Callithrix jacchus: one gene and its partners. The protein of the gene in region 1 purifies or fractionates together with the protein of each later gene. This does not show direct contact. Links are inferred from orthologs where the notes say so. Each region holds a gene or a part of one and is shown in the gene's direction. Other genes may lie near its edges.

Region 1 (3,980 bases):
TTAACTCTAATTTTGTTTAAGGATGTGTTTCATTTGTTTTCCTATCTTCTTTCTCATTAGGACATGAAAGATCAGATGTCAGCTTCTTCCGTGCAGGCATTAGCTGAAAGAAAAAATAGACAGGTGAGAAAACACCAGAATATAATTATCAGTGAGAGAAAGTATACAGTTAGATATTTGAAATTTAAAAATGCTGACCATCCATGGATCATGTAATCAAGAGGAAGACCTCTGCATGCAGGCCCTGGTGTGACCATGGGAGGTTTTGTGACAGTCCAGGCAGCTGTCCCTGTACCCTGTCAGCGTTTCCCTCCCCTCTCTCACCTTCTGATTCTTTCCTGTGGGCTCCCATAGCACCTTTTGCCTACCCTTACTATGGCACTTGTCAGAGTACTTTTACTGTTTTCATGTGTTTATTCTGCACCTGTTGAGCACGTTCTGTGTGCTAGGCTCTTTTAAGGGCTATAATTACTTACTGTCTTTCTCTCTGCTGGGCCCCAGGCCCCTTGAGAGTGAGGAGAGATCTGTGTCTTGGTTTTTAGTTGTTGGGTTTTTTTTTTGAGCTCTCTAGTAGTTACTACATTGCCTACCCATGGAACACAATAGACATCTATGGATTGACATTTGATGTAAAGACATTAGAGGAACCTTAAACTTGTGTCTTAAATTTCTCTTTAAGTAGTTTTTTAAAATTACATACTTTGGCATATTTATAGAAACTGCTTTCTAATTGTTAAAATATAGTTCTTTAAAAAAATGTAGAATGGTCATCTAGAATTTGGACTTTAATTTAGATTGAAATTTGATTTAGACTTTTTTGGTGGGATAGAATGTTTTTTGCCTGTTGCTAAACTGTTAGGTGATTTTTTTATGGAAGTAGTTTTTTAAAATTCTGTGGATATCCATTTTTCTTAGGAGTAAACAGTAAATAGTATCATGAAAAATGATAGTTTGTTTTAAATGAATTATGATTCCAGAAAGTTACGAATTGTCCGTATAGTAGGCTCTTGAGAAATCTTGCTATTTTTACTTAACTAGCAATCAGTACTTTATAACATAAATCCTTACTTTATACCTGTGGGTGTTTGTCAAGCCACTTCATTTTGAAAACAAATATGAAAGCTTGAAGAAGGGGGAGGGTTCTATAAATATCACCTCACTTAATTTTTCTGTTTGCTTTTCTTGCATTCCATTTTTCAAGTCATTGTTTTGTTTTTGGCTTTTTAATCTTATTTGCCTCCTTTGCTTTCTTTTTGATCAGTACAGCTAGGAAGAGCCACTAGCTGGTTCATTCCGTCTGGCTCCCTCTCTTGAAAGAAGCTAGTGAATGGCCTCAAGTTGGCTAGTTTTGGAGTTCTCTTCTCATTTGCACTTGACCTTATAGGAAGTGGAAGTACCTGAAGTAGTTGTGGCAGTGAAGTTGGTAACACCTATGCTGCCACTCTAACTTGAATGTTTTATTCTCTAGATAGTATAGGCTACTATCCACATTAGTATGGGCTAATGTGGATAACATGGGCATATGTATTGCCTGTCCAAGTGTGGCCTGGAATTTGGTTTTAGGCCATGAGCGAAATGTCAAGTTGCAAATGTTTAAGGAATGGCAAGGCCAGGGCTTTCTAAGCCTCCTGCAGGCCTGGGCCTTGCTGTGTCATGCCAGGCACCAGGTATTGTGCTGCTCCCTCCACCAACCCTGCTTTGGCACCCACGCACAGGTGCATCTCCCAGCGCTTGGCTCCTCTCTCAATCTCTTTCCTATTAGACCTCTGGGGTCAGACCAATGAACTTTAAGCACCTTTACAATAAAATGTGGATGATTTGCCCTATACTTAGCTCTGCCTAAGTGTAGACCATGGAAAATGTAGGCAAAATAGCCCTGTGACCTCAGGAGCACATAAGGCCCTGGTGATGTCCCAGTTCACTGTCCTTAGGCATTACAGCCTTTTTCTGACCCTAAAAAAATTGTCACTAGTTCCTCATGTCTTCCATAGAGGTCCTTAGAGTCTGGATCAGAATGAGCAGGATCTTTTCAGTGTTGACAGCCCTAAGACCAGGTCAGGGCAGAGCCACCCACAAAAACCCTTGGATCTGCTTTACACCAGAGACAGTCACCATCTAGCCTCTTGACTGGACTGCCCTGGGCCACTGGAAGCTCTTGTAAGAAGAGCTTCTAATAACTGAGCCTCTTAGAAACTCTGCTAATAACAACCTCAGAACATAGCACACTGCATCCCGAGCTGCCCTGATTGTCCCTGAAGTCTGGCCATTTGATGGAGCTCACCCCTTGCAGTCTGGAATAAGTCAGTGCCACTATGAAGGAAGATCATGAGGCTGTTAGAAGGGTTTCAGATAGAACCAAGTAAACAGTCAGGCTTTTAATAGTGCCAGAGATTTTTTTTTTAATTACCTAGTAGGAAATGGCAACTCAACAAGAAAAAAAGTCTTAGTTGCTGGCGTCTTCTGGCTCTTGGCGCACGGCTGGTGTGAGCAGTTACTTTGACCTGTCAGAAAGGCTTGTGGGAATCTGGTCAGAACCAACTGTGGAGACTGAGCTCTCACATTCCGGCCTGGCCTCTTCATGTGAGGAAGACATACCCAACCTTACCCATTTATGGCTGCAGACTTCCCTGAATTCGTACTTCAGAAACCCAGCCCTGTTGTCTGGGAGCCGTGGTGGAAGACTGACTTTAGGGCAGCCCTTGCCTAGGTTGCCAAGGTCAGGGATTCCTTGTGGTCACACCTGCCTGGTGAAGGAACCCCAGTTGTCATCTGGAAAGCCTGAAGGACCCTGGATTCTATTCATGGGTTAAACTTTACAGACATTGATGGTTCTTAAGCCTTTTGTGTGTGAAGGACTATGGCTTACCTGCTTGTAGTTTGAGGGACCTCTCCTTTTCCCCCCACCAAAAACCCCAAAACTTCCCTGGGTCACACTTTTCTTAAAAAAGTACTTTAGATCTTTGGAATCAGGTTGACTGGAACCTATGGGTTGCTGAAGTTCCACAGGTGCCAGGAAGAGCTCTTTGACAAAAGATTGAGTGCTTTTCAGTTATAACACAGTATCTAGATGGGCGTTTGCTGATTTAGCAGGCATTTATTTGCACTTTAAGGGGACAAAGCCCATTGTGAGGCCTGTTGGGAGAGCTTGAACACAGAGAGGGCCCTTCTGGAATTCCTTAAATTGTACCACACAGGCACCAGACTACACCACTAGATAAAAGCCTGGCCCAGGGGAAAATAGATGATAAGAAATGTGAAAACCCTTTATATCACTCTCGATGCTTCACTTGTTCAGAGATAGTAACCGTTTGTTTCTCCTGACTCCTCCGGTTGTCCTGCTCACACAGGCACTGCTGGGAGACAGTGGCAGCCAGAACTGGAGCACTGGAACAACAGATAAATACGGGCGCCTGGACAGAGAGCTCCAGCGAGCCAATTCTCATTTCATTGAGGAGCAGCAGGCACAGCAGCAGGTACCCCAAGGGGCCCAGGCTTAGGATGGGGCAGTGGGAAAAAATAAACACACCTTAGTTCCTTTGCCAGCCATGGGGTCTCATGGCTTAATGACAAGCGGGGTAAGCCAGAGCTTGTCCTGTGGTTTATTATGTTTAAATATTTAATGATTGCATGCATAAAGAGTTTCAATCTTCACAGCATGACTGCTTCAAGAGAACCAAGCTCAGCCAGGCATGGTGGTTTATACCTTTAGTCCCAGCTACTCAGGAGGCTGAGGCCAGAGGATCCCTTAGCCCAGGAGTTCAAGGCTACAGTGAACTTTGATTGTGCCTTTGCACTTTAGCCTGGATGACAGAGCAAGACCCTGTTTCTAAAAGCAAAGAATCAAGTGGCCTGGTGAGGTGGCTGACACCTGTAATCCCAGCACTTTGGGAGGCCAAGGCAGGCAGATTACGAGATCAGGAGATCGATACCATCCTGGCCAACACAGTGAAACCCCGTCTCTACTAAAATTAAAAAAAATT
Region 2 (4,591 bases), about 8.3 Mb from region 1:
TAAGCTGTCTATGTATAAGAGATGAGGCTATAACTAGCTAAAGCTCTAATTGGCTAAGACACCAAAGCCAGAAAGTATTCTATAACATGCAAATATGCAGATATAAAATCAACTGTAAGTGCTGGGCACAGCTGCTCATGGCTGTAATCCCAGCTACTTGGGAGGCACAGACAAGATCACGTTAGCCCAGGAGTTCAGAGCTGTGGTGAGCTATGATCATGTCACTGCACTCCAGCCTAGGGGAAAAAGTGAGAACTTGTCTCAAAAAAAAAATCTGTAGAAGAAAAAATAATGTCTGGGTCACTAGGAGTAGTCCCACTGTCATGCCCAGACAGAGATGCAAACCTTGAGAGGCTTCTATTCTAGGTGGGCCGTTTCAGTCCAAGTCAGCCGGGCTCTGGAGCAATAAACACAGACACCTGAGTTTAACATCAAGTTTTTTAGAACCTTCAACTGAAAACCCGACAGCTGTTTCTAAGTCTTAGACCATTTAAATCAGAATCTAGGTAGCACGTGGGCACCTGAGTAGTTTAAAAAGCTTTCCAGGTGATTTAAAAAGTTTTCCAGTAGTTCCCCACCGCCCCCCCACCCACAGTGGTTTTAAAAGCTTTCCAGGTGATTCAACTCCAAGTGAATCACTTAGCATTGAGTATCATTGCCCTAGTCATGGCATCTTTCAAATTCGTTAGTGCATGTTTGCATAAAATTACACATCAAACGAAGAGCAACTTTTTTATGAAGGTGTCTATTTCTTCCTTTAGTGTCCTCAGATCTTCTGCTGTTTTCTGGTCTACTTTTGTTTCTGAACACGCCCTTATTTTTGTCTTTGGAGAGAGCCTGGCACGGTATTTCAGACAGTTAAAATACTATATCAACAAAGGACCCATAAATACTGTATTAATGTTAAAAGATGTATAGTGGATATATGATTGAATGAGTAAAATACTCCAGCTGGGGCGTGGGAGGAATGGATAATAAATAAGAGAACGGAAAAACAAAATTAGGAATTGTTTTTGGTAGCCAGCATCTGTGGGCTTGGAGATCTAAATATGATACCAAACTGGGCGGAGGAGGAAGGAGTGAGGGAAGCATGGGCAGAGCAGCGGAATGGCCAGGCAAGGGCGATTTCCCTGAAACCTGAAGGCTTTCAGGTTACAACTAACGGATACCGGGAAAAGAACACGGAGCCGCCGTCCCTTATCTATCTAAACTAGCTGTGTAACTTTAAGTCAATCTCCTCTCTGAACCAGATATTTCTCCTACCTAAAGAAAGGAGGCTGACCTAGGAACCATTAAAATCTCTTTCCAAGTCCAGCTCTAATTCTGCAAACAGGGGATCAAACAGAACTTCTTTCTTCAGAAAAGGCCCCAGACGAAACAGAAGCAGGTCCTCGAGCCGCAAGCCACCCTCCTCTTGCCACCCAACGTAGTCAGCCCGAGGGACGGATCTGGCACAAAGCACTACCTTCTTTGTAAACGCCTTATCACCCCAGCCAGCACCCCGACCCGAGCAGTTCTGAGTTTCCCATCCCTCCCATAAACGCCCTCCACGCACGCCGGATCCCGACCGGAACCTGGAGAACCAGTGGTCACTCATCCCCTAAAGCACAGGGAGGAGCTGCATCTAAAATCCTTGAGGGTCAGGGCTCTTCCAGGTGAAGAGCGCCCGGCGGAATCGACTTCCTCGACTATCTCCGCGCCCTGGACCCGCCCCCTCCGCCTGGCGCCAGGCCGCCGAGCGCCGATCGGCTCGGTGAGCGGAGGCGCTGCTGCGGAGCTGCGGCCGACGCCGGATCCGCACCCACCGTCCCCCCACTCCCAGCTTTTTACCTCAGCTTCCCACTCCTTCCCCCGCCCGTCCAGCACCGCCCGCCCGGGAGAGCTGCCGGGAGTTCCCCGGGAGCCTCAGGTACTGGCGCTGGCCTGTTCCCAGCCGGAGGGGCTGCTGTGAGGAGGGAGGAAATGAAGATGACGCCCCTGCCTCGCCGCCCCTCGACGTCCGAGTTGGGCTGGTTAGCCGGCCTCGGGGATCTAGGAAGGGACCCCAGAGTGGGAAAAAGCTGGGGCCGGGGGTACCGTGAGGAAGGAAGACGAGGACAGGGGTGTGCGGACGGGGAGTAGTTGAGGGGAGAAGAATTGGAATTGAGGGGTACTCTGGGGCGATGGGGAGAGAACAGTGCCATGGATGGGGAAGGTTTGTTAAGAGTGGGAGGCAGTCAGGAATGCCAGGGAGTACCATGGGGCAGGAAGGGCCAACGTTAGGAGCAGATACTTCGAGGGACGTGGCCTGGTGCGACAGATTGGGTGTTGGGGGGTGAGCAGAGCTGCTTCGAATTGTGTATTTAAAGGGCTCGGGAGAAAGAGCGCCAACCCTGCTGTGTTTGTAATGACCAGAAGGTGGGGGTGAATCGTTACACTTGACAGGTTTTGCTAATAACATCTTTGGTCTGTGTCCATCCAAGTTACTTTATTTCTATGAAACTGCATCGAGCAAGACGCTGATGACAGACAAGGAAGAGGAGTTAAAAAGGGAATGGAGGCTGGGAAAAGGAGAGCCTCTGCCCAGATTCAAAGCTATTGACTAAATAACGTACTGCTTACAAAAATTCATACATAAACGTTTAAGTATATGCTGATGCATAAGAAGCATACGGTGATGTGACTGTGTAAGTGAATTGTATAGTGGTGGTCTGTCCTCAATGTGGAAGTACATGATGGCTCTCTTATTTACATGTATTCCTAGTCACCAACACCTGAATTCACGTATGTTTTTTGTAGGGGAAATCTTAAGCAGACTCTATCCTAGTCTCCTTTCTGAGCATTATTTACTTCTACTAGTTGTTGGATACCCGTATCATCAGATACTAATAAATAATCAGTAGTTGCAAATAACATCAGATTTCATCAAGGTAGCTAATTAATCTGTCTACTGCTTTGCGGATGGGTTTTCTATCTGTTGGACATGGTTTCTTGGGATTGAGAGACCTGAATATGAGGTTTGCCCATCCTTAAGATTGTAGTTTTACTATATGTCTCATAAACGCATTATGTAAGTCTGCCTGTTGTTTGCTTTGGGGTGTTGAGGCAGCCTCTATGCATGGGGTTAAAATCTAAATACAGATATAGTTAAAAGCACAAGTTCTTCAGTAATTTGCTTTGTCATCTGTTTTTTCCATGCATTCTGTTACATTTCTGCATAAATGAATTATTCTGAAATCAAAGTGTGAGGAATAAAAGGGCCAGATGTATGTGACAAATACTGTGGAACCAAGAACTCAAGAGCTGTTAGGCAGCAAGAGTTTGTTTTTTGTTACAAGTGAATAATTTCTGATTTGGAAGCATTTCTTATCAAAGAAGAGTGTTTGTGTCCATTTGTTTTGACAAGTAGCTAACTTAAAATATTACTTTTATTTGGTTTAGGAAACCAGACTTTGGGGTTATTCTTTCTGATGTCTAATTTTACGTAATTTAAAGGTCTAAATGCTGCTTCTTGTGGGCAAGGAAACAGGACTATTGGGTTGTTACCGGAAAATGAGTCTCTCTAGAACAGAATTCTGTAAACCTGATGGGCAACTAATTGAACAAATAATTAAAACTGATAATGGATTGCCATTGATTGATTTAGGCCTGTATCTCTGCCGTTTCAATGAGTGTAGTGACTAACATTATCGTTACTAAACTTTAGTTTTCTACTAGTTTCTTAGTGCCTACTTCAAAGAAGCATCATAAAGACTAAAAGAAAATGCATGTGTATCACTGAGCACAGTGCCTAGCATATAGTAAAACATTCAGTATTTCTGAGCTATCCTTAATTGCTGGGTATTCATCTACCATCTAGTCCAAAATACTGAAAATTCATTATTTGCATAGAACAACTTTTTCTTAAAAAAAATTTTAATATGTTGCATATGCAAGCATTTTCCTAGAAAGTCACAATGCATTTAGCATGTAAGAGGATTTGAGTCATTCTGTAGTAAAGAAAACTAGCTTTGTTTAATCCAGTTGTTTTGATGAAAGAAAAACTGAATTTCTCCTAGTCTCTCTCAACAGAGAATACTCCTCTGACCCCAAAAAGATTTCTCCTCATGAGCAAGTAGGCAATTCTGCATCAGGTTCTCCAGCTGGGTGTCCTCTAATTCAATTGGTACTTTATACCTAGAGATAGCATCAGATTCTGCAGGTTGAGGGCTTAATCTTGCAACATTCCTCTGCACCTCGAGTGCCCATCACAAGTTCCAGGTGTTTTTACCTGTGCTTCCAGTAACTGGCTATAAATCAGAGTTCCCCAAATTCCTTGTCTTCAATTTATTTGCTAGAGTGGCTCACAGAATTCAGAGAAACACTTTATTTACTGGTTTATTATAAAGGATATTACAAAAAAATAGAGATCAACAGCCAGATTGAAGAGGTGCATAGGGCAGGGGGTACAGAGCTTCCATGCCCTCTCCAGGTGTGCCACCATCCAGGAACCCTCTACTTGTTCAGTTATCAGGAAGCCCTCTGAACCCTGTCCTTTTTGGGTTTTATGGAGTCTTCATTAGTAGACATGATCGATTACATCATTGGCCATTGGAAATCAGTTCAACCTTGA
Region 3 (4,643 bases), on another chromosome or scaffold:
TCAGAGCTCAACCAAAGTGTGTTGAATCAACAGCTAATGAACTTTATCTAATAAAAATGAGAGCCCAGGAGGTATAAATTAGCAAAGTATTTTCCCCTGAGCATTCATGTATCTTTTAATATTTGTAAGCAGTTTAATATTGAGCTCTCAAGCAAACATTTGAGAATAGACACCTTGAGCAAACTGAAATCGGTGAAAATAGGAATTTAATCTTTTTGAGATAGGGTCTTGCTCTGTTGCCCAGGCTGGAGTGCAGTGGCCCGAACTTTAGCTCATGGCAACCTCCGTCTCCAGGGTTCAGGCGATTCTCTTGCCTCAGCGTCCCGAGTCACTGGGATTACAGGTGCTCACCACCACGGTCGGCTAATTTTTGCATTAGCAGAGACGGGTTTCATCATGTTGGCCAGGCTGGTCTCAAACTCCTGACCTCAAATGATTCGCCCACCTTGGCCTCCCAAATTGCTGGGATTATAGGCGTGAGCCACCACTCCCGACCTTAAGATAGGAATTTATACCCAGAGAGTGCAGGAAAGGACCTTGTAATTGTTAACACGTGACACAGTGGCAGATGGGACCTAATGAAGCCAGGTCCACCTTCCACACCAGGTTATCAATTCCCCAAGAGCAGAGAATAAATGTTTTATTCACCAACATGCCCAGATCTCTCACAGTGCCTATGCAGGACAAACACCTGTTGTGAAAAAGTGCACGAGGCAACCTAGTGCACTAGGCAGGCCTGACAGCTAGAGTATTTTGCATGTGCCCCCTACTTCTGTACGGTGACAAGTCCTAGCATTGTGTTGTGGGACTTACACAGTACATTGACGGTAACCTCAGACTTGGTCATCTCTGTGTTAGTATTTCATCCTAACCGGGTTTCTGTTTTGAATTTTTGTTTTTTGGAGACAAGGTCTCCCTCTGCCTCCCAAGCTGGAGTGCAGTGGTGGGATTTCTGCAGACAACCTTCTGGGCTCAAGTGATCCTTCTGCTTCAGCCTCTGGGGTAGCTGGGGCCAAAAGTGCGCGCCACCACGCCCGACTCCTATTTTGGGTTTCTGGTAGACCTTTCACTATTGTGCCCAGGCTGGTCTCGAACTCTTGGGTTCAAACAATCTTCCCACCTCGGCCTTCCAAAGTGCTGGGATTACAGGCGCGAGCCACTCACCCGGCTGGGTTCCACTTCTGAAAGCGTGGGGAGCCGCTGGGCCTCCCAAGGAAAGTGCTCCACCTCCCGATGGCAAGCACAGCCCCCGGCCCAGCTATCTTTCCAGGGCTGAAAAGCTAACATTCAGTCAAAACGCGAAATGATGAAGTCGGGTCAGGATGCCAAAGCAAAGCGCGATGACAGTGAGGACGACGTCTAGACACAAACACACACCAAACCACCTCGCTACCGGGCCGGAGTCCACTGCCGCGGCGAGAGCTGAAACTCGCGGCCGGGACAACGCGCGACCCCGGGACGGGATGCTCTCGGAGCCAAACTACATCCCCCGGCGTGCACTGCAGCGCCCGCCCCCTCACCCGCCGAGGGGACCCGGGAAGAAGGCGGCCGAGCTGCCCGTCTCGCAGGTCCCCTAGGGCTCTTTCGCAGCGGCGCCTTTGCCCACCCTGGACCGGGCACTTCTCGGACTCCGCGACTGCTGCTCGCCCCGGCGCGGCACCGCTGCCTCAGGAGTCGCCTGGGGCGCGCAGTTGCCTGACTTCCTGTCAGGCTTTCACGCCGGCGCTCCCGCAATCACGGGCTGGAGAGGGTGGGCGTTCCGGCTCCGGAGGACCCTGCCGTGGCCCCGGAAGAACCTCGTCCTGGGCGGCTGTGGCGCGGCGGTCGCCGTGATGGCCTCGGGGCTGGGCGGCTGACCGCCGGGCTAGGAGAAGGCACAGCGCCCCGAATCTCAGTGGCCGCTGTTCGAGCGCGGCCTGCGCCATGGCCACCTCCGCCGCCTCCTCGGAGCATTTCGAGAAGCTGCACGAGATCTTCCGCGGCCTCCATGAAGACCTGCAAGGGGTGCCCGAGCGGCTGCTGGGGACGGCGGGGACCGGTGAGGCCGGGGCGGGGGGGTCACGCCGTGGAGGGGTCACGCCGTGGGGAGCTCGGCCCCGCGCGCTTCGGCAGGAAGATTCCCCCACCTTCCTCCCAGCCCCGGGCCCGCGTCTCCTCGCTCCGCGTCCGCGGACACGCCCCCTACGACTGGCTGGGTTCCAGCCCCAGGTCTCCCTGCTGCCACTGAGAGTGAACTGGGGACGTTGCCCCGGGACGGACGTCGGGGTTCAGTTCCCTGGGATCCTTCCATGGCCTTCCACATTTTCTCGTCTCTTTTTTCACTGCGGCAAACAGAGCAGAGCAGTGGGGCTTTTGTATCTGCGGTCTTGTGGTAGAATGGGTTTCTTTCGTAGCTGTTTTTTGTTTCTTTTATGCATTTGAAAGTATTAGTTTCAAGACAGGTCTAGTTTTCACTAGACTGTCAGAGGATCTATGGCACAAAAAAAGGGTTAAAAACCCAAAGGAATCATAATTTGGGGGTGTTGGTAAATACCAGTTACTTACCAACAAGGGGACATTTAAAACCCAATTGTGACATTTAGATGTGGCCTTGTTTTGAACATTTTATACCGCTGAGACTATTTACTACCCCTTAATTTCATGAAGCAGGTTGCTACGAGTTCTGTCTGGAGGAGCTAGCGTTTTTCGGCCCTAAATCCTTAGGAAGACCTACTGTAGTTCTTGGCCTCCGAACATATAGAACTTGATGTCAAGGATAAGACTTTGAAGTTTGAAGTTTTACTGCTTTTACTTAAGGGTCAGAGTTTGGTTGTTTGCTCAACGAATTAATCAAGGTCATAGGAATTGAATGACTGTGGTGAGAATGAAATTCACGTGTTTAACATATATTTATTATGAAGCTGCTTTGTGCCAGGCACTGTTCTAGGTGCTGGTTAGTATTGCAAATTACAGTGAAAAAGACATGCACATCCCCATTCTGGCAGGTAGGTGATAAACAATATGTAATTATTAAGAGGCAGTGTTAAAGTATACAGGAAAATAAATCAGGATAAAGGAATAGGGGTGGGACTTCAGTTTTATGTTGTTATTATTTATTTATTTTTTGAGAGAGGGTCTCACTCTGTCACCCAGGCTAGAGTGCAGTGGCACGATAGCTCACTGCAACCTCCACTTTCCAGATTCAAGTGATTCTCCTGCTTCAACCTCCAGAATAGCTGGGATTACAAGCATGCCACCACCCCTGGCTAATTTGTGTGTGTGTGTGTTTTTTGTGGAGACAGGGTGTCACTGTGTTGGCCAGGCTGGTCTCTAACTCCTGACCTCAAGTGATCTGCCTTCCCTTGCAGATTTAAATAGGGTGGTTGTGAAAGTCCTCTCTGGGGAAATGGCATTTGAACAGAGACTTGAACGAAGTGAGAGAGTAAACCAGAAATCTGGAAGAAGTGACTGTCGGAAGGGGAGAATAACACAGCAAAGGCCCTTAAGCAGAAGTGAGCTTGGTGTGTTCAGAGAAGAGCAAGAGGTTCCATGTGCTTGGGAATGGGGTGAGCAAGGGAGAGAGGTAGGCAGGACCAGATCATGTAGGGCCTGTGGTCCATGGTGAAAGACTTTTCCTAAATATGATGGGATGTGGTTAAAAGGCATTGTGCAGGCTGGACGTGCCAGCTCATGACTGTAATCTCAGCTCTTTGGGAGGCTGAGACGGGTGGATCACTTGAGGTCAGGAGTTCGAGACCAGCCTGGCCAACATGGTGAAACCCCATCTTTACTAAAAATAGAAAAATTAGCCAGACATGATGGCAGTTGCCTGTAATCCCAGCTACTCCAGAGGTTGATGGGGGGAGAATCACTTGAACCCAGGAGGCGGAGGTGGCAGTGAGCCAAGATTGTGTCATTGCACTCCAGCCTGGGAGAGAGAGAGAGGCCACGTCCTGGAAAAAAAAAAAAAAAAAGAAAAAAAAATGTATTGTGTAGAACCATGGTGGGATCTGATTTATGTGATTGAAAAGTGGGCTGCAGGCTGGGTGCAGTGGCTCACACCAGTAATCCCAGCATTTGGGGAAGCCAAGGCAGGCAGATCACTTGAGGTCAGAAGTTCAGGACCAGCCTGGCCAACATAGTGAAACCTTATCTGTACTAAAAATACAAAAATTAGCTGTGCATGGTGTCACCTGCCTGTAGGCCCAGCTACTCGGGAGACTGAGGCAGGAGAATCACTTGAACTCAGGAGACAGAGTTGCAGTGAACTGAAGAAAAGAGTAAAAAAAAAGAAAAGTAGATTGCAGTCGAGGAGTGGTGGCTCACACCTGTAATCCCAGCCCTTTGGGAAGCTGAGGCAGGAATACTGATGTGTTGAGGAATTTTGAGACCAGCCTGGGCAACATGGTGAAACCCCATCTCAACAAAAAATACAATAGTTAGCCCGGCTTGGTGGTGGGTGCCTGTAGTCCCAGCTCCTGGGGAGTCTGACGTGGGAGGATCGCCTGGGCCCTGAAGCTAGTGGTTGCAGTGAGCCAAGATGCCACCACTGCACTCCAGCCTGGGTGACAGAGCAAAAATAGAAAATTGAATTCATTATTACTATAGTTTGAATGTCTCTCTAAAACTTATGTTGAAATTTATTTGCCATTTTAATTTTATTA
Region 4 (4,608 bases), on another chromosome or scaffold:
TTGAATTCTACGTTCAAATTCAAAGTGTCAAAAAGAAAAAAAAATACAACCATTAAGCTTATTTAATTATACCTCTTATTATACAAATAAGGAAACTAGGCAGAGTGTGGTGGCTCACCTCTGTAATCCCAGAACTTTGGGAGGCCGAGGCAGTGGATCATCTGAGGTCAGGAGTTTGAGACCAACCTGGACAACAGGGCAAAACCCTGTCTCTACTAGAAATACTAAATTTAGCTGGGCGTGGTGGCAGGTGCCTGTACTACCAGCCACTTGGGAGGCTGAGGCAGGAGAATTGCTGGAACCCAGGAGGTGGAGGTTGCAGTGAACCGAGATCACACCACTGTACTCCAGCCTGGGTGACAGAGCACGACTCCTTCTCAAAAACAAACAAAAGCAAATAAGGAAACTGGGCTCAGAGAGATGAAGCTATACAGGTGAGGGCAGATAGGGACAAAGAAAATAACCCAACCCTTTGGATTTCCCAAGCCATTCTAACACTTGTTTTTACAGCTTCTGCAAGTTAGTAGATCAGAACTCACTAGTTTCCTACCTTTCCTGATCCACACAAGATTTAACTAACATCTGATTTGATCAATGAAACACCCTGGTCCTCAAGTTCAGTGTGAGACTTAATGAAATTGGCGTGAATTTTTCTTCTGTCCCTAGTTCATCTTCAGATCACTCTCTGATTTTAATAGTTCTCAAATTTAAATCACTACGCATGCTCAGCTTCTCATTTCCCTTCTTTCCTCATGTTGGGGGAAAAATCCGATTTATTCTATTTAACTGTGAGAAATGAAAGCTAACAAATCCTATAATTCTCTATTGTCTTGTGCAAATATGAAGCGAGAAATTTAAGTGGGGTCAATAAAGGCACTAGGGAATCCATTTGGCAGAATCTTTCTCCTCCCAGGGTGCTCGAAATCAGATACTCCGAGATTCCAGTGGAGAAATGGTATGGTGGCAACATCAAGGTTCAACAAAGCTGAATTTAGGGCATATTTTATTCAAATTCTACCATATATATTTTCTAAAACGAAATAAAGCTGGGGAAAAAGTTGTGGAAGATACTCATTGCCTTTTATTTATAAAGGCAAATACTTAATAATAAAAATAAAATAATGTATAAAAACAATCACAATTCACTTTCAAATCTGAAAAATATATTGAGTTTTCCAGGTTACACATAAAACTGCCAACGATGAAAATCCCAGGTTGAAAACAAGTACGCCTACAAAGAAAAGTCTGAATTCATGGAGAATTTGAATCCAGAACCAACTCCACGGAGCTGATCGTTTCCGGGGGAAGCCAGGGACCGCACCGGGCGCTCTCACCGGCCAGACCACGTTTAAGTGAGTCTGGAAGCACAGAGCAAAATGGTCATTCGGGGGCGAACAGCACCTGGCAAAGGGATAAGTGAATGGAAACATCAAAGCCCTTGCGACAAATTCCGGCGCGAACGGCCAGGAGGGATGAGACTCAGGGGAGCGGCCTTCGACCGCGCGGCGGACGGATGTCCAAGCTGAAAACAAAGTCACCCGCCGAAAACTGTCCCTGCAGCCGACAGGAAGCAGGAAGCTCCAGCCAAAATGGCGCCGCCGCTCTGCCCGCCCCGCGCGCCCCCGGCGGCCACCCAGCCCGCGCGCGCCCTGTGGAGCGAGGACGCCGGGGACGCGGCCGGGGACGTGCGCGCCTGCGCGAGGGCGGGCGGCGGGGACGCGCGCGCGGCGGGGGCGGGTTCTGCTGAGTGCTGGGCTGCAGCCGCCGAGCCGGACGTGTTGGCGAAGATGGCGGGCCGGGTGAGTGCCGGTCAGGGAGCCCAGGCTCGAGGCAGGGGCGCCGGGCTCGCGGGCACTCCGGGGTCCGGGCAGCCCCAGGGGAGGGAGTGTGAATTCTAGCAATGGGGCGAGCGGCCAGGGCAGGGCTTGAGGGGAGCAGGGGAGCGGTAGAAGGGGATTAGCCCTCCTCAACAACTCCACCCCCCTCGAGGGGAGATGACCCCCTCATTACCCGCGTCTGCTGCGCCTCCCTTCATCCTCCCTTCCCATCCCTTGGAGCTTGTTTCCCTCGTCCTCCACACAGCCCCAGGGTCGCGGTCGCCGAAGCCTCTTCTGACGGGCTCTGGGGGTCTCTCCGCACCCCATTGCGAGGGCTTTTTAGGGGGCGCCGGAGTAACTGCGGGGAACACGTCTGCTGCATTCGGGACGAGGGGTGTGGGAAAGATAATCAGGAACTGGTGTTTGGCTCTTCACAAATAAAAGGTTGTTGGGAAAGAGGAAGGGGGTGCCAATGACTTTTAGTGTTAAAGCCCGGCCATTGGGGGACCTGTCAACTGTCGGGTCAGGCAGGAATTGGCTTTAGCTTGGCGCGAGGATGGATTTGGGGTGTCACGTTTTGTTTTTATGAATGACGGTCGCTTCGAATGCAGCAGGATATGCTGTAGTTTCAGGGTTTTACATTTACTTCCTCATTTAGCCTTTAGGATTCCTGGGTAGGATGGGTTTGGCTAGGAGGGATAGAGCTGGTGAGTGCTGTATTGCAGTTTGCCTTGAGCTAAAAAGCTGTCAAGGCATGAGTCCTGCCCAGAGATTACACTGGTCATAAAACTGAGGACATTAACTGCGTCACTGGGGGGCGAAAGATGTGCTTGACTGATCCGTTTATGCCAGAATATTTGAATAAGTTTGCGTAGATTTATGCGTATATGCAAATGCCCTATCTAAAGGAACTTGTAGGTCATGAGATCCTAGAGTCAGAAGGGACCTAAAAGAAAGGTCATTTAGCTTGGCTTCTTTTGCTTCCTTTCCCCTGTAGCCTCCTTTTAAGGCTAATCCTTCCAATACTTCAGACTCTAGCTGTATATTCACCTGCTCCTTCTTAACATAATCAAGCTTCTCTATCTTAAAACAAACCCTTCCCCCACCCCTACAGCTGTCACCTTTTCCCTTACCGCTTTACAGCAGGAAATTTGATAGAGTTGTCTGTTGTCTTCCATTTGCTTACCACCTACTCACCCCTCAACCTACTGCAGTCTGATTTCTGCCCCATCATCGCACTGAAGCCTATCCTTCAACTTGATAATTTTCAATCCTTGTCTTACTTGATGTCTCAGCAGCGTTTGACGTTGCTGACCATGGTCTCCTTGACAGAAAGCACTCTTCCCATGTCTTCTGGGATGCCTCACTCCTGGTTTGACTCTGACCTCTCTTTTGCAGACTCACCCTCCTCTACTTTGTTATCCATTGCTGGTATTTCCTCAAAGGCCATCTTCTCTCAATTTTCTGCTCAATTTCTTCTAAGCCCATAGCTACAATTGTCTATATGCTAGTGATTCTCAATATTTTACCCCCAGTCCAGATATGCCCTTTAAGTTCCAGGTTAATACGTCCAACTGCCTATTTAAAATCCAGCCCCCTGGACTGGGTGCAGTGGCTCACACCTGTAATCCCAGCACTTTAGAGGCCGAGGTGGGTGGATCACCTGAGGTCAGAAGTCCGAGACCAGTCTGGCCAACATGGTGAAACCCCATCTCTACTAAAAGTACAAAAAAATTAGCTGGGCGTGGTGGCATGTGCCTGTAATCCCAGCCACTAGGGAGGCTGAGGCAGGGGCATTGCTTGAACCAGGGCGGTGAAGGTTTCAGTGAGCCAAGATCGCGCCACTGCACTCCAGCCTGGGTGACAGAGCGAGACTCTGTCTCAAAATAATAATGATAATAATAAACAAAAATAAAATCAAAGCCCCTGAAACTCAGCTTGTCCAACCCTGAACTCAGGATCTTAGCCCACCTAAGTTGTGCAGATGCTCCTCGACTTAACGATGGAGCTACCTTCCAATAAACCCACTGTACGCTGAAAGTATCAGAAGGTGAAAATGCATTTACTACACCTGATTTACCTAATATCGTAGCTTAGCCTATCCTACTTTCTTTACACATGCCCAGAACACTTACATTAGCCTACACTTGGGCAAAATCATCTTACATAAACCTATATTATAAAATGTTGGATACCTCATGTCATTTATTGCTGTGCTGATAGTGAAAAGCAGAATGGTTGTGTAGGTCCTCAAAAACCCATCACCTTCGCCCGATTATAAAGTTGAAAAACCATGTTAAGTCAAACCATTGTAAGTCAGGGATCATCTGCATCTATCCAGTGAGATAGGAATAGCTCACTAAATGATACCATCATCCATCCAGTTATATAAGCTGGGAATCTGGGGGAGGGAGAGGGTGGGTCACCCTTTGTACTCTTCTTTTAGCATGTCCTCTGCCCTACCTTCAGGTAAAAGTTTTCAGAGTTCTGCTCCTACCCCCTATAAATGTATTTAATTAGGGCCAAAGACTCTGGCTTGGGGGAATCATTGCTTTAAACTAGATCCAAATCACCATTGGACTAGCTGGACTGGTCACATGGGTTCTGTCATTTTAACCTAAAAATCTCCAGTCTGTCCAGCTTTCTACATCTTCATTTTTACCTACTTTTCCCAAACTACCATCATCTCTGGTCTGGACTACTGCAGGAAGCTCCCAAGTAGTCTTCTTTATTTTTTGAGACGGAGTTTTGCTCGTCACCCAGGCTGGGGTGCAATGGTGCCATCTCAGCT

Evidence for each region. Proteins that work in one complex are often made in the same cells at the same time.
Region 2: the proteins of STX6 (region 1) and VAMP4 purify together in Homo sapiens (co-immunoprecipitation; 5 studies listed by BioGRID and IntAct, counting the BioPlex papers as one, with this or other methods). This does not show direct contact. The link is inferred for Callithrix jacchus from reciprocal best matches to the Homo sapiens genes STX6 and VAMP4.
Region 3: the proteins of STX6 (region 1) and VTI1B purify together in Homo sapiens (affinity purification with mass spectrometry; 3 studies listed by BioGRID and IntAct, counting the BioPlex papers as one, with this or other methods). This does not show direct contact. The link is inferred for Callithrix jacchus from reciprocal best matches to the Homo sapiens genes STX6 and VTI1B.
Region 4: the proteins of STX6 (region 1) and NSF purify together in Homo sapiens (affinity purification with mass spectrometry; 3 studies listed by BioGRID and IntAct, with this or other methods). This does not show direct contact. The link is inferred for Callithrix jacchus from reciprocal best matches to the Homo sapiens genes STX6 and NSF.

Annotation. Positions count from the first base shown.
Region 1 is NC_133519.1:39,280,859-39,284,838, reverse strand, and holds part of STX6 (syntaxin-6), read left to right. Parts: intron 1-60; coding exon 61-123; intron 124-3,347; coding exon 3,348-3,473; intron 3,474-3,980. UniProt on the Homo sapiens protein: SNARE promoting movement of transport vesicles to target membranes. Targets endosomes to the trans-Golgi network, and may therefore function in retrograde trafficking.
Region 2 is NC_133519.1:30,967,910-30,972,500, forward strand, and holds the start of VAMP4 (vesicle-associated membrane protein 4), read left to right. Parts: upstream 1-1,728; 5' UTR 1,729-1,909; intron 1,910-4,591. UniProt on the Homo sapiens protein: Involved in the pathway that functions to remove an inhibitor (probably synaptotagmin-4) of calcium-triggered exocytosis during the maturation of secretory granules.
Region 3 is NC_133509.1:102,671,504-102,676,146, reverse strand, and holds the start of VTI1B (vesicle transport through interaction with t-SNAREs homolog 1B), read left to right. Parts: upstream 1-1,780; 5' UTR 1,781-1,923; coding exon 1,924-2,038; intron 2,039-4,643. UniProt on the Homo sapiens protein: V-SNARE that mediates vesicle transport pathways through interactions with t-SNAREs on the target membrane. These interactions are proposed to mediate aspects of the specificity of vesicle trafficking and to promote fusion of the lipid bilayers.
Region 4 is NC_133506.1:86,367,460-86,372,067, reverse strand, and holds the start of NSF (vesicle-fusing ATPase), read left to right. Parts: upstream 1-1,745; 5' UTR 1,746-1,787; coding exon 1,788-1,799; intron 1,800-4,608.